Linked DNA regions of Sus scrofa. The protein of the gene in region 4 purifies or fractionates together with the protein of the main gene of each other region. This does not show direct contact. Links are inferred from orthologs where the notes say so. Each region holds a gene or a part of one and is shown on either strand. Other genes may lie near its edges.

What was found.
Region 1: the proteins of POLR3B (region 4) and POLR3F fractionate together in Homo sapiens (co-fractionation; 4 studies listed by BioGRID and IntAct, with this or other methods). This does not show direct contact. The link is inferred for Sus scrofa from reciprocal best matches to the Homo sapiens genes POLR3B and POLR3F.
Region 2: the proteins of POLR3B (region 4) and uncharacterized protein LOC106505238 purify together in Homo sapiens (affinity purification with mass spectrometry; 6 studies listed by BioGRID and IntAct, with this or other methods). This does not show direct contact. The link is inferred for Sus scrofa from reciprocal best matches to the Homo sapiens genes POLR3B and POLR1D.
Region 3: the proteins of POLR3B (region 4) and POLR3H purify together in Homo sapiens (affinity purification with mass spectrometry; 8 studies listed by BioGRID and IntAct, with this or other methods). This does not show direct contact. The link is inferred for Sus scrofa from reciprocal best matches to the Homo sapiens genes POLR3B and POLR3H.

What each region holds. Positions count from the first base shown.
Region 1 is NC_010459.5:26,725,828-26,729,393, reverse strand, and holds part of POLR3F (DNA-directed RNA polymerase III subunit RPC6), read right to left. Parts: intron 1,728-3,566; coding exon 1,660-1,727; intron 1,219-1,659; coding exon 1,198-1,218; intron 1,074-1,197; coding exon 1,006-1,073; intron 1-1,005. UniProt on the Homo sapiens protein: DNA-dependent RNA polymerase catalyzes the transcription of DNA into RNA using the four ribonucleoside triphosphates as substrates.
Region 2 is NC_010453.5:5,085,825-5,089,390, reverse strand, and holds part of uncharacterized protein LOC106505238, read right to left. Parts: intron 142-3,566; coding exon 1-141.
Region 3 is NC_010447.5:6,998,221-7,002,505, reverse strand, and holds the start of POLR3H (DNA-directed RNA polymerase III subunit RPC8), read right to left. Parts: upstream 2,817-4,285; 5' UTR 1,727-2,816; coding exon 1,616-1,726; intron 411-1,615; exon of another isoform or gene 1-410.
Region 4 is NC_010447.5:13,843,169-13,846,734, forward strand, and holds part of POLR3B (DNA-directed RNA polymerase III subunit RPC2), read right to left. Parts: intron 2,528-3,566; coding exon 2,369-2,527; intron 254-2,368; coding exon 136-253; intron 1-135. UniProt on the Homo sapiens protein: Catalytic core component of RNA polymerase III (Pol III), a DNA-dependent RNA polymerase which synthesizes small non-coding RNAs using the four ribonucleoside triphosphates as substrates.

The DNA.
Region 1 (3,566 bases), on a different chromosome or scaffold from region 4:
TGTTTTCAAAATGTTAATTTAACTTTCTAACATATATAAAAATCACATGATTTCAGGTTACATCATAATTGTTGAAGCTAATATCGGTGACTCAAGTAGATCTTAAATTATAATATTAGCAAGGGCTACTATAGTCTTCAAGGGCAATAGAAAAGGAACTAAATAGCTGTTGAAGAAACTACATCAGACACTGCCATACTGCACTAGGCATCCTCTGGTTTGTGCAAAAACCAGAGATGTTATTGTCCACAATTTACAGAGGAAAGGAAGAAATAAAGGTTTCTAAAATTTAGAAAGTGAATACTGGAGTTCCCGTTGTGGCGCATCGGAAACAAATCCAACTAGGAACCATGAGGTTGCGGGTTTGATCCCTGGCCTCACTCAGGGGTTAAGGATCCCACATTGCCGTGAGCTGTGGCGTAGATCACAGATGAGTCTTGGATCCTGAGTTGCTGTGGCTGTGGCGTAGGCCAGCAACAACAGCTCCAATTAGACCCCTAGTCTGGGAACCTCCATATGCTGATGCTGCGGCCCTAAAAAGACAAAAAAAAAAAAAAAAAAAAAAAGAAAGTGAATATTAAAAAAAAAAACCCTTAAGTTTGCACTGAGGGTTTGGGACAGAAATGCTATAAAATTGGGTTGTAATGATCATTGTACAACTAAAACAAACAAACAAAAAAGCCCTTAAGTTTTAAGTTTTAATTTATTTATTTTGAATGAATAATACATTCACATGATTCAGAATTTGGACATTTCTTTCCATCCCTACCCACAGCCATCTGGTCCCTGTCTCCCTTCAGGCAACAAAAGCATCACTCCTGAGTGTCCTTCAAGCCTATGTACATTACACACACACACACACATTTTTTACATTTTTTTCCCCTTTTAACACAAATGGCTGCATACTCTCCTGACTGATCCATACCCTGGGAAGCCAGGATCTCAGTTCCTATATCTGGTCCTAAAGACGATGGTTTTTTTCTGCTTGTTCCTGCACATGCTTACCTTTATTTCCCGCATCCTCTATGATTTGATATACTAGTTTCTCTTGATTATCTGATCCTTTCATTTTACTGCAGGGGAATAAAGTAGAATTAAAAAGGCAAAGAGGTACAGGATAATCTAATAATCTACACAACTAAATGAATCAGCAGACAAGGTCATCACATTTACTGATTTACCAAAAGAAGGGCTTACCTTAAAAAGAATGAGACAGGGCTGTATGTACCAGAATGAAAAGATGTCCATGATATAGTAAGTGAAAAAAACAAGTTGCAAAACAGTATGGATAGCATGATCCAATTTTTGTTTAAAAAAAAAAAAAAAAGAAAAGAGATTATATATAAATATATGGAATATAAATATATAATCGTCTATATGTATTTACATATACCTATAAGAGATTATATATAAATATATGGAATATAAATATATAATCATCTATATGTATTTACATATACCTATAAGAAAGATATATACCACTATATTAATAAGAGCAGTTATCTCTGGGAAATGGAACTCATGATGGGAGGTGAGATGATTATGTAGGACAGATTTACATTATGCTTTACTTTATGCTGCACTGGCTCCCCCACCCCCCAGATTTATACTCCTTTCATGATATTAAAATTTTCTTAAAATAAAAAATTAGGTGCTTACCCAGCATTCTGAGAGTCCTTTATTCTATACAGAAGGCCTGTATTGCTTCTTAAGAGATCCAACTGACCCTAAAGTTGTTTGTTTGTTTGTTTTTAAAAGAAAATAGCAGTGAGTTATTTGGGAGATAGATCAAATCCAATGATAAACACATTAATATATTCTTCAATAGTTTATATGGATTAAAATATCCTACCTCCCATAGTTATTTGTCAGTTTCTCACTTGAGACTTAAGCTTCTTCCTACGTATCACATGTGATATATTTTTAAGAACTTAGCTCTTTATCTCATCATTTCCCAAAACATTAATACCTAATAATTTTCTACATGCTTGATCCTGGCTTGGTTATATGATCAATGCTTTAAAGAATTTTAAACAAAAGTCAGAATAACAAATAAAAATCCATATTCAAGCAAATTCAGTTAAGTGTATCAAATATAAATACAATAATTTACCTAAAATGTTCAAATAAAAGCTAAACATGCAAAAATAGTCTATGAAAGTGATGAAGTAAAATTTACAAAGTTAATAGTAACATTTACTGATGTGTGTGATTTCTGAAATGTTACATGAAAATTAGGTGGAAAAGTCGACCAGTGAATAAAAGGCTTGCAGTAGTTTTGTTTTTATACAAGTCAAAAGTAAAATAAAGCATGTCTGTCATGCTTCTGCATTTCTCTGGTTCTGAACTTGGAAGAACCCAGATGGCTGACCACTGGGCTGTCAGCAGTTCAGGGAAGTATGGCTAAGAGAAGCCCCGTTTCCATGGGTTAAGGCCAAGCAGACCCATGACCTGGAATCAGGTTTACATAAATGGCTTAACAGCAATACTTTCCTCCCACTCCGGCCCCAGAAGTGGAAAAATTGAACCACAAAGGCCAATCTGAAGGCTCCATGAAAACTGTCCTGGATATTTTTGATGTGAACTGCATTAAATCTTCAGACTGCTTTGAGTAACAGGGATATTTTAATTATATCTAGTCCATGAACATGGGACATCTTTCCATTTCTTTGTAGTATCTTCCATTTCCTTCATCAGTGTTTTACAGTTTTCAGAGTTAGGTCTTTCACCTCCTTGGTTAAGTTTATTCCTAAGTATTTTATTCTTTTTATGTGATTTTTAAGTGAGATTTTCTTGTTTCCTCTTTTTGATAGTTCATTATCAGTGTATAGAAAAGCAATAGATGTCCAGATATTAATCTTGATCCTGTGACTTTACTGAATTCATTTATTAGTTCTAATAGTTTAGGGTTTTTTTGAATGCACCTGCAGCACAGGGAGGTTCCTAGGCCAGAGACTGAACCTGTGCCACAGCAATGACAACACAAGAACTTTAACCCACTGAGGCACAAGGGAACTCTCAGTTCTAAAAGTTTTTTTTGTTTTGTTTTGTTTTGTTTTTGTTTTTTGCTTTTTAGGGCCACACCCATGGCATATCGAAGTTCCCAGGCTAGGGGTCAAATCGGAGCTACAGCTGCCAGCCTACGCCACAGCCACAGCAACTCGGGATCTGAGACTTGTCTGGGACCTACACCACAGCTCACAGCAATGCTGGATCTTTAACCCCATTGAGTGAGGTAAGGGATTGAACCCATGTCCTCAGGGATCTTAGTAGGGTTCGTTTACCACTGAGCCACGAAAGGAACTCCCTGGCTTTTATTATGTTAAAACACGTTCCCTCTATAACAACTTCAATGAGGCTTTTTTTTTTTATTATGAATGGATGTTCAATTTTGTCAAATGCTTTTTCATGATCATACTGACAGTGTCACATGATTTTTAGCCTTCCTTTTGTTAATGTATTACACTGATTTATTTGTGCATACTGAATATTTTCACATCCTTAGAATAAATCCCATTTGATCATGCTGTATGATCCTTTCTGTGTATTGTTGAACTCAGTTTGCT
Region 2 (3,566 bases), on a different chromosome or scaffold from region 4:
TCCTCCTTCTGGCTCTGGCTTTTCGCAGGCTCCGCACTGGCCTCTTTGGGTTCATGGTCTTGCTCCTTGTGGGACGGCAGAGTGTTCTTAATTGTGTTAATGAGAAATCTCTTATTGGTACCAGCAAGAGGACACTTCATCCTGGGGGGAAACAGGACAGGCACACATCAAACACTGACTCCAGAGCTGAGCCCACGGAGCAGCAAAGAAAGCGGCTTCCACAGAAGCAAGTTTCCCGACTTGTGAGCTTCCCTTGCGTGCCACCTAGTGTAAACTCCGAGTACAGGGCAAGGAGAGCCTGCGGAGACCCGCGGGCCCTTCTCCCAAGACTTCAGAGGCGACGAGCCCCGACCCTACCAGAGGGTGTGTACAGGTACTGACCACAGCGCCGACTGCCTGAGTCGTTTAACACTGTCTCCTTACACCCCAAGTCCCTGATTTGACCGTCATCCGCATTTCGAGTTAAATTTTGTGGCGGCTTGTTTTTAAATATCAAAGAGCAAAAATAAGTCCCTCCCGGAGGAAACGAGCTACCGTAGAAACAGAAGCTGTCTAAAGACTCCATGAGGCTGCAGTAACCTCATTCACCCTCTGAAAGGCTCACACTTTCTGCTCTGAGACTGTGTGTTGAGTTTGCCTTGTCAGCGAGCCTTTTCCCACGTCCACCCCGAGGGAGGTTCTGTGCTGCCTCCGTTTCAGTGGTGTCATGATTCAAGTTCACCCGGAAGGAAGGGTGCAACCAGGCACAGCATAGTTTACATGCTTTGCTCTGCTTGCACACTCAGGATGTTTGATTTTTCAGGTGTAGTAAATCTTTCATTTTAGGAAAGACAACCCCAGACAAATAAAACCTGAGTATTTCTCTTGGCCTTGAGCCATCTGCCTGTACGCAGGGCTATTTTAGGAGGATGCTGATCCTGCAGATGGTGTTACTCAGGGAGGCTGGTGTTGAACAAAAGTGAATGTAGGCGTCCGTGATCTCCATGCCTCTATCAAACTGCGATTCAAGGCGAATCCCACGTAACACGGGCACGCACTGCAGTGACTTTCTGGCCTGCCCTCGTGGGGGAGAGACCAAACTGCTCACCAGCCTAGTGCCCCGTGTTCCGAGGTCAGGCCCCCTCAGGCAACCAGAATGGCACTGAATCTGGAAGGAAAAGGAGGAGGAGAAAGACAGGAAAATGTCTCCTGCTGCAAATAAGCTGTCTCGCACCCAGCAGGTATCAGGCGTGGCAGGCGTGGGGCTCGGAGGTCGAAGCCCGATGTCTGGTGGTGGCGGCCCTGGGGCTTTGGTTTGCTTTCCTTTTCCGGCTGGAGTTTAAAAGCCACAATGAATGAGGTAGGAGCAAAGAAGAAAGGCAACAGCAAAAGAGCAGAGAAAATGCTTCTGCAAGGACAGGACACACACTGTTGGACTCCCTGCAGCCCCGAGGGCTTCACTTGTCTTCCAGAAAAGTACACTGGCTTGATGCTGCCTCAGGCATGGCCAGGCATACAAGGCATAGCCAGGTGTGCCCTGCAGAGGTACAGCCCTAGGACCCTCTGTTCAGTTAGGAGGGCCAGCCAGCCTCTTCCCTCGGTGACCAGGTTAGGTTATCACTGAATTCAGGCATCGATGGGGTGACGATCCTTGAGCCACCGCATTGCAAACTTAGCAAAAAATCAAGAGAGCAGGACGCACTGGTGTGTTATAGCAAACACAACCTCAGTAGCCTGCGGGAGGAGGCTGCCCTTCATTGTGGAACAAAAGAGCAGGAAAAGCCGAGCGGCCCTCTCTGCCAGCTCTGGCTCAGGCTTCCTGCAGGACCACCATCTCCCCTGGGCGTGGCGGGCCAGCCGGGGAAAGCCAGCCGGCTTCAGAAGAACCGTGGGGCGTTTTCAGTGCAGTGGCTCATCAGGGCTGGAAAAACTGCTCAGCTCCTCTCTGGAATAAATGAGTAAGGAAGGGGATTATTGCCAGGCGGTGCAATAACCCAGGATCTTAAAACCTTTGGAAACTGCTGGTGAATTGGACGTGTTTCACCACCTTCCACATGAGGCCATCTTTAATACCACGTGTGCGCCTGAGATGGAGTGCGGTCTTCTTCAGCTGGAAAACTGCAGGCTTCGTGCTGAGAGGGGGCCATGTGTCAGAGGAGGTGTCCTGGCTTCCTGCTGCATGTGTAACCCATCGACTCAACATGGGCACCAAAAGAGCTATTCTTTTTTTTTTTTTTTTTTGGTCTTTTTAGGGCCACACCTGTGGCATATGGAGGTTCCCAGGCTAGGGGTCTAGTCGGAGCTGTAGCTGCTGGCCTACAGCACAGCCACAGCAACGCCAGATCCTTAACCCGCTGAGCAAGGCCAGGGATCAAACCTGTGTCCTCATGGATGCTCGTCAGATTCATTTCCACTGAGCCATGATGGGAACTCCCCCATCTCCAGCATCAAGCCAGTGTACTTTCCTGGAAGACAAGCAAAGCCCTGGGGGCTGCAGGGAGCCCAACAGTGTGTGTCCTGTCCTTGCAGAAGCGTTTTCTCTTTGCTGTTGCCTTTCTTCTTTGCTCCTCATCTCATTCACTGTGGTTTTAAACTCCAGCCGGAAAAGGAAAGCAAACCAAACCCCCAGGGCCGCCACCACCTGACGTCGGGCTGCATCCACCACACCCCACGTCCTTTTCCCTCTAGTCAGATTTGTTTCTGCTGAGCCATGATGGGAGCTCCAAAAGAGCTATTCTGGAATGAGATGGTTTTCTAGAAGAAAGTCCACAAGAAAACTGGCTTTGACATCTCTTTAACATCAGAGATGCCAGTGTTGGGAGAAAAAAAACAAACAAAACATCAGAGGTGCAACTTTTAATGCTGGCTGTGCCTGGGGTTCTATTCAAGGTGAAACGTGGAGGATGGCTTGGCGAGAACTCGGTTTTCTTGGAGTGGGGTATGAAAGCGACTCTTTCCAAGCATGTTGGTGCAGGACGCATCTTAGAGATGAAGAAAAGTGCCCGCCCACACGCATTAATAAATGGGGGGGCAGTTGCGGGCGACTGAAGGGGCATATGTAGTAAATGGCTCCACGCTCGGGCATTAAGAGACGGAGCGTGAGGCTGAGGAGCTCACTGGCAGGGCCGGCTCAGGCCTTTAATGTGGCCATCAACTCACCGCCAGCCAGTGGATTGCTGCAAACCCCGTGCAACACAGTTTATCCACGTGCTCTGGAGTCATGCGATCCACCAGACCGAGCCCTGGGCCTGGTAAATCATCTTCCGTTGCCTCTCATCTTTTAATAGTGGATAATAATGGAGACGGTTTGGGAGGCTTGGATGCAGCTCAGAGGGTGAGGGCATGCGCTCAGGACAATGCCCGATGCCTGACAAGCACCTGGTAAAGTGTAGCCCTTTAGCCTCAGTAAAACGTGTCCTACTCCCACAGCCGAATTAGCTTGGGGCCAAGGGAAGGTTACATCAGTTTTCTCTTTGTAAACAGAAGTAACAGAAGCGCCTCCCTGTTGCGAGGATTTAAGGAGATGGTGTCTGAAGCGCCTTGCACAGTGCCTGGCACGTAGTCGAGCTCCGGTGAGTGGTACCTCC
Region 3 (4,285 bases), about 6.8 Mb from region 4:
TCTTGTCTCCCTCACTGCAGGTGAAATTCTGTCATTCCATGGGTTCGCGAACACCTGTTTTCATAGCATTTAGCTCAATTTGTCTAAAGACACTCAACTGTGGGAATCGCTTGCTCACATCTGCTTTTCCCACGAGACTACAGAGCAAAAGCTTGTCTTTTATTCGTTCAATAAACACTTACGTAAATATGGGGGACAGAGGGGAAGAAGACAAGAGTTCATGCTCTCATGGAGAGGGAAAGAGAAAAACAGAAATCAACTAAACAGGAATTCCCTACTACCTCAGGGGCTAAGGACCTGGAATTGTCACTACTGTGGCACAGGTTCAATCCCTGGCCTGCCAACTTCAGCACGCCGAGGGCCGGGCCAGCAAAAAAAAAAATGAGAGGGAGTTACTGCTGCGGCTCAGTGCTGACGAACCCGACTAGTAACCATGAGGACTTGGGTTTGATCCCTGGCCTCACTCAGAGGGTTAAGGATCCGGTGTTGCTGTGAGCTGTGGTGTAGGTCCCAGACATGGCTCGGATCCCTTGTTGCTGTGGCTGTGTAGGCTGGCAGCTGCAGCTCTGATTCAACCCCTAGCCTGGGAACTTCCATATGCCATGGGTGTGGCCCTAAAATGCAAAAAAAGAAAAGAAAAGGCAGTGGGAAGGCCTCTGACGACTTGGCACTAAGGCATGCAGGCCTGGCACATAAAAGGTGCACAAGCGTTCTTTTGCAGAAATAAACGTGACAGCCAACTTTAAACTACCATCCACCTTCCCAGAAACAATGGATGGTTGGACAGCAATTATTATTTCCACTTTACATATGGAAACTGAAGCCCAAATGGGGTAAATGACCTGCCCCAAACTGCAAAGTAAGGAGTTCCCATCGTGGCGCAGCGGAAATGAATCCAACTAGGAACCATGAGGTTGCAGGTGTGATCCCTGGCCTTGCTCAGCAGGTTAAGAATACACCGTTGCAGTTGTGGTGTAGGTTGCAGACGGCGGCTGGGATCTGGTTGCTGTGGTTGTGGCGTAGATCCGGCAGCTGTAGCTGATTCAACGCCTAGGCTGGGAACCTCCATATGCCGCGAATGAGGCCCTAAAAAAGCAAAAAAAAAAAAAGCAAAATAATTCGGAAGGGTCCCACTTGCAGCGGCCTTCCCCCTTCCCCCCCCCCCTTTTTGGTTATTTTGCACCCGCGGCATATGGAAGTTCCCAGGCTAGGGGTCAAATCGGAGCCTACACCACAGCCACAGCAACGTCAGATTCAAGCCGCGTCTCCGACCTACACCACAGCTCACAGCAACGCTGGATCCTTAACCCACTGCGGCCAGGGATCGAACTTGTGTCCTCAAGGATACTAGTCAGGTTCGTTTCCGCTAAGCCATGACGGCAACTCCACGACGGCCTTTTTTTCAAGCCCAGTTTTTCTTTTGATTCCCTCCAACATTCTTGTGGGGTAAGGATTACCCCTATCCCATGCACAGGTGAAGAAACCGAGCTCTGAGACGTTAGGCTACTTGCCCAAGGCCGAGGCTTGGCACCGACAGGCCGAAAGCGGGCAAGTAAGCAGCGCTGGGCCCTCTCCGGCCAAGGCCGGCCAGCGACCCCATGGACCCAGTCAGTACCTTGTTGGCCAATTTCTTGTTCAGCTCCTCGGCAATAGAGTCGTTGAGCTTCCTCTCAAACTGCCACGGGGGTATCCGCACGGTGTCAACCATCTCCACCAGGACAAACATCCCGCCTGCGCGGGGGACTCTGGGAACGCGAGTGTCAGTCACGCACAGACACCTGGGGCGGCGGGGATGCCGGGGCCCGCTCTGTCGGTCCCAGTCGCTGACGGGGCGGCGGGGATGCCGGAGCCCGCTCTGTCGGTCCCAGTCCCGGAGCCCCCCAGGTCGGCAACGGAGCTGGAAGCCGGGGCCTAGGGTATCTCCGTAAGGGGCGTGCTCCTCTACTGCAAGCAGAGGAAGCTGAGGCTCCACGGGGAGGACCTCCTGGTCGCGCGGGAGGGGCGCGCAGCCCAGTCAAGCCACACACACCACGCACTACGCACCACGTGCCTCCGCCACGCACCGCGGACCCACGCCAGCAGCACTACTACGGACGATAGTCCAAATCCGGTAGCTTCCGGGAGACCGACCAATAAGAAGCTTCGGTCCGCCCCGTCGCGAGGCGGGGCTACGTACCGGTCTGCTCGGGACGGGGCCACCCCTTCCGCCTGCGTGGAATCGTCAATCCCAGGCAACGCTTTCAGGTTGCTAGGCGACCTCTGTGCCACCGGGCCATCTCTGCTTGACCTGTGCAGTACTCTCCTGGCTCAGGCCTACCTCGACGCTGCAGCCGGCCCTTCCAAATGCAAACACAGTATGCCTAGACCCTTCAATACTCTGGAATCGGGGACACTGGGCTGGAAAGGAGCAGGCGAGACCTTTATAGGATGATAGAAATGTTCTGTATCTTCTTTTTGCCGGTGGTTACACAGGTGTAGACAGTTGTCAAAACTCGTCGACCTCAAGACTTAAGATCTTTGCATTTACTTGTAATTCAGATTACATCTCAATTGAAAAGGGATAATAAATTGGGACAAAAAAAAAACAACCAAAAACCAAAAAACCCTTACTGATTTACTTTTGAATTAGCAATAAGGTCCAAAATCTTTATCATAGCTCACAAGGCCCTGCGTGGTCTTGTCATTGTCCACTCCTCCAGCCCTGGTTTGTTCTGTCTCACCACATTCCAGTCTCACTCATCTTCATGTGATAGCTAACATGGGCTTGGACTAAAAGAATTTCATACCTTGGAGTTCCCGTTGTGGCGCAGTGGTTAACGAATCCGACTAGGAACCATGAGATTGCGGGTTCGATCCTTGGCCTTGCTCAGTGGGTTTAGGATCTGGCGTTGCCGTGAGCTGTGGTGTAGGTTGCAGATGCGGCTCGGATCCAGCGTTGCTGTGGCTGTGGTGTAGGATGGCGGCTACAGCTCCAATTAGACCCCTAGCCTGGGAACCTCCATATGCTGCGAGAGCGGCCCAAGAAATGGCAAAAAGACAAAAAAAAAAAAAAAAGAATTCCATACCTTGTCTAAGGCCATGGGCTGCTAAGTGGTAGAAGTGGGCCCCATACAAATCTGTACAGTACACAGCCTTCGTGGAAATACACTGCGGGGGGGGGGTGTTCCTTGTCTGTTTGGTTTTGGCCATGCCTGTGGCATGTGAAAGTTCCCTGGGTCAGAGATGGAACCCAAGCCACAGCAGCTATCCCAGCCACTGCAGTGACAATGCCAGATCCTTAACCCACTGCCCTACAAGTGAACTCTACACTGCAGTGTCTTGTTTTGTCATTTCTTTTCTTTCTTTTTTTTTTTTTTTTTTGTCTTTTTGCTATTTCTTGGGCCGCGCCCGCGGCATATGGAGGTTCCCAGGCTAGGGGTTGAATCGGAGCTGTAGCCACCGGCCTACACCAGAGCCACAGCAACGCGGGATCCGAGCCACGTCTTCGACCTACACCACAGCTCACGGCAACGCCAGACCCTTAACCCACTGAGCAAGGGCAGGGACCGAACCCGCAACCTCATGGTTCCTAGTCGGATTCGTTAACCACTGCACCACGACGGGAACTCCTGTTTTGTCATTTCTTACTGCAGTATAGTTTTTGTTTGTTTGTTTGCTTTTTACGGCCACAACCCTGGCATATAGAAGTACCCATTCTAGGCATCTAATTGGAGCTACAGTTGCCGGCCTATGCCACAACCACAACAATGCAGAATCTGAGCCGTGTCTGCAGCCTACACCACAGCTCACGGCAACGCCAGATCCTTAACCACTGAGTGAGGTCAGGGATCGAACCGGCAACCTCATGGTTACCAGTTAGATTTGTTTCCGCTGTGCCACAACAGGAACTCCCATTGCAGTGTAGTTGATTTTCCATATTGTGTTAATTTCTGCTGCACAGCAAAGTGATTCAGTTATAAACACACATTCTTTTTAAAATATACTTTTCCTATGGTTTATCATAGGATATTGAATATAGCTCCCTGTTGTTTATCCATTCTATGTATAATAGCTTACATTTGCTAACCCCAACCTCCTGCTCCGTCTCTTTCCCAGCCCCCTTCCCCTTGGCGACCTCAAGTCTGTTCTCTGTGTCTGTGAGCCTCTTTCTGTTTTGCAGATAGTTTCATTCATTCGCCATAGTTTAGTTTATTTTATCTTTGGCCATGCCCACCGTGGCATGTGGAAGTTCCTGGGCCAGGGATTGAACCCGAGCCACAGCAGCAACCCAGGCCACTGCAGTGAA
Region 4 (3,566 bases):
AAGGCCTGCTATGGGGCGGAAACCGGGCAGATGTCTATCTGGGAGGCATCAGCCCAAGGAGCTGACCTCCAATTTTCCCATTCCTTCTTTTGAAAAACTCTTTCTACCTGTTTCCAAGGCGCGGCCGATACGTACGTGATGGGCACATCTTTGTACTGCGGCTGCTGTGGAACATTACTTCCTTCCAAGGGGATCTGAGTCACTGTGGGCATGGACTTATTGACAAGCACTTGCTTGTTCTCCACTTTCTCACCTGAGAGAGAGAGAAGGGTGTTCGACACACCACTGTCAGCTGCGTGGAATGCAAAGATTACCAAGGCATCAAACCATGTGATTAGACTTGGTGCACGAAACCCAGACATGGAAGGAAAAAAAAAATGTCCACGCAGTGGGAACTAGACATCAGCAGGGCTTCTTTGTAATTCTGCAAGCTTTTTGAGAAAGTCATAGATTAAGATCACAGTGTGTAAAAAATTAAGAAACTGATTTAGAGGGGCCACATTAATGAGAGAACATTCATGTCAGCAGTGGCAATTTAAAATATCTCTTAGAGAGTTCCCTTCGTGGCGCAGCGGAAATGAATCTGACTGGAACCATGAGGTTGCTGGTTCGTTCCCTGGCCTCACTCTGTGGGCTAAGGATCTGGTGTTGCTGTGAGCTGTGGTGTAGGTAAACAGACGTGGCTCGGATCCCGTGTTGCTGTGGCTGTGGCACAGGCCGGTGGCTATAGCTCCAATTGGACCCCTAGCCTGGGAACCTCCATATGCCGCAACTGCGGCCCTAAAAAGCAAAAATAAAATAAAATATCTTTTAGGATATTAGATCAGGTTTGGTCTACTTAATGGTTATTTCAACCAGTAATAAGTCACCACCAATCTGACTTGGGCAATGGGGAAATACAAATATTTCTTTGATTTTCCAGCTATGCTGACCTTTGCTTTTCTTGGTAAGCTCAAAGACCAACTACTGCAGCACTGCCACAGCAAGCAAGTTGAGAGTGGAAGAAATTCTCCAAGAAATAAAGGCAGCAAGAGGAGGGGGAAGCCAGGTGCCACATGGCTCGGGCCCCACAGTGGATGCAGCATCACCCCGAAGCATCCACCACCCAGGCATCATCCGTGGCAGGACCCTGTGCATCTCCCTCCAAGCCAGCCCTTCTCTCCACTGCACCATGGCTCCTGTTGCCTGGTCTGACTCGAGAGCTCTCAGTTGGTCCCTGTCTATTCTGGTTTCCTTCTACTCTTTTCTCCACACTGCAGTCAGAATGATCACTGCAAAATGCATATCTGATTGTATCATGGATTTTAGGAACATAGTGAAAATAGTACTGCGTCTGGACCCTACTTCTCCCTCCCTTCCCCACCTCCCTCTCTTCCGTTAGCCACAGAGGCCTCCCTTAGGATCCTTCAGCGATGGGTCAAGCTGCAGGACCCAGGCAGAGCCCTGTCTCCTGCTTAGACGCAGCCCCTCCCTCATCATTAGTTAATCCCACTCAGCCTGCAGCTCTTAGTCACCTCCTGTGGACGGCAACCCCGATCTTCCCGCTTAGGTCAAATCCTCCTGCCATAAAATGGCCTCAGAGCTCCTGGTTGTAACTTGACTTATGTTTGACGTGGTCCTTTGATCAATGTCCGCCTCCCACACTAGCCTACATCGACTCACAAGGGCAGGAGTTGTGGGTTGCACCAAAAAGATTCGCCATGGAGTTCCTGTTGTGACTCAGTGGGTTAAGAACCCAACTAGTGTCCGTGAGGATGCCAGTTCTATTCCTGGCCTTGCTCAGTGGGTTAAGGATCCCGTTTTGCCACAAGCTGTGGTATAGGTCTCAGATGCAGCTTGGATCCCACATTGCTGTGGCTTTGGCATAAGCTGGCAGCTGCAGCTCTGACTCAACCTCTAGCCCAGGAACTTCCATAGGCCATGGATGTGGACATAAAAATTTAAAAAATAATAATAAAAAATTTGTAATTAAGAAAACCCAAGATTCATCACAAATTTGTAACTACAACGGAGTTACACTTTTTAGGGGAAAAAGACTGTAAAGTTAGTCTATAAGCTAAATGAACAAATGATGAAATATCAGTGTAGATGCAGGGACATGATCTTATTCTAAATATTTTCTTAAAGTGATTCAAAATTATAACTAGAAAAGTATAACTAGAATAAATTACTGCTATATAAAAACATAGGCCTAGAAAAACAGACCGGAAGGAAATTCATCAAAAATGACCACACTGCTTGAATTAGGACAGTGGTTTTATAAGCTGCTATTTTTTTCTGCCCTATATACCAAATATTCAAAATACTGTTGAATAATCTTCATAATTTTAAAAAACCCTGTATATTAAAAAAATGTAAAGACCCTTACCTGGAGAACAAATACCATCTGCATCTAAAATTTCATGTCGCCAGATGGGTTTTCTTGTAGCAGCATCCAACACTGGCCCCATCACTTTATCAAAAGTCTGATTGGTATATCGCTTCAATGTACATTTAGCATTTTTATATACAAGGCAACGCCCAAAGCCTAAGATGAAACCAAAATGGGCATCAGAATCACCAGGTGAGAATATGAAACTATGAGAGAGCACAGATCTGTGTTATTCGATAACTCACCCCACTCTACCTTCCTTCCCCCCAAAATAAACACACCAAAAGTGCTCCCTATTTAGACAATCTGAGACTGGCCAAACCAAATAACAATTTGATAACCTGAAGAACTGGCTCAAGATTTCTCCCCTATCCGTTAACCTATTACCTATTGTCCTTATTTATAAACACTGCCATCTCCACAGCCGTTTTTCCACGTGGAATAGACCTCGCCTTTGAGAGCACAGAGAGCAAGGACATGGGAAAATCAGAAAGGGCCTTAGAGATCCCCTGGCATAGCCCCTCTGCCTTACAGGTGCTAAGAGTACGGCACAGAGAAACTAAGTGGCCAAGGTCACCCAGCAAAGTCATGGCTGAGTTGAGACCGACCAAGTCCAATGATCAGGCAGCATCCTTCCCACAAGTCATCTGGGTGCATAACTTCTGCTAACCTTCTCTCGAAAGTTTTCCTTTTTCTCGTTTTGGCATTCAGAGAAAGTCCCACACAATAAACAAACAAACGAACAAAAAATAATTTTCTTCCAGAGAGGAAGGAGAATGAAAAGAAGCAATCAAATGACTTGAATGGGAGACAGTTCCTCTCTGCCCTGAAGATGAGTTTACGTTGACTATATTTTTTAATACATTTATCTCGTGGATGAGGAAAAAGTCCTGGGACCAACTAACAGTCTAAACAACCACTGAATCCCACAAAATACTCATCAGTTGCTCAAAAAGCTGCCAAACCTTCCACACATTTCCCAAGATGCTACGGCTGCATTTCTTTCTTTCTTTCTTCCCCTTTTGCCAAGCTGCTATTTTAAACTGGATTCTCTCTCTAATCTCCCCAGGATATACTGAGCCATGTCAGAGTTCACTGAAATAGGAAAATGTTCTCAGGATTAAACACCAGCTATTACTGAAGAAATAGATGCATGGCTATAAAATCCTTTGCTTATGATTCTCCACCAAAAGCA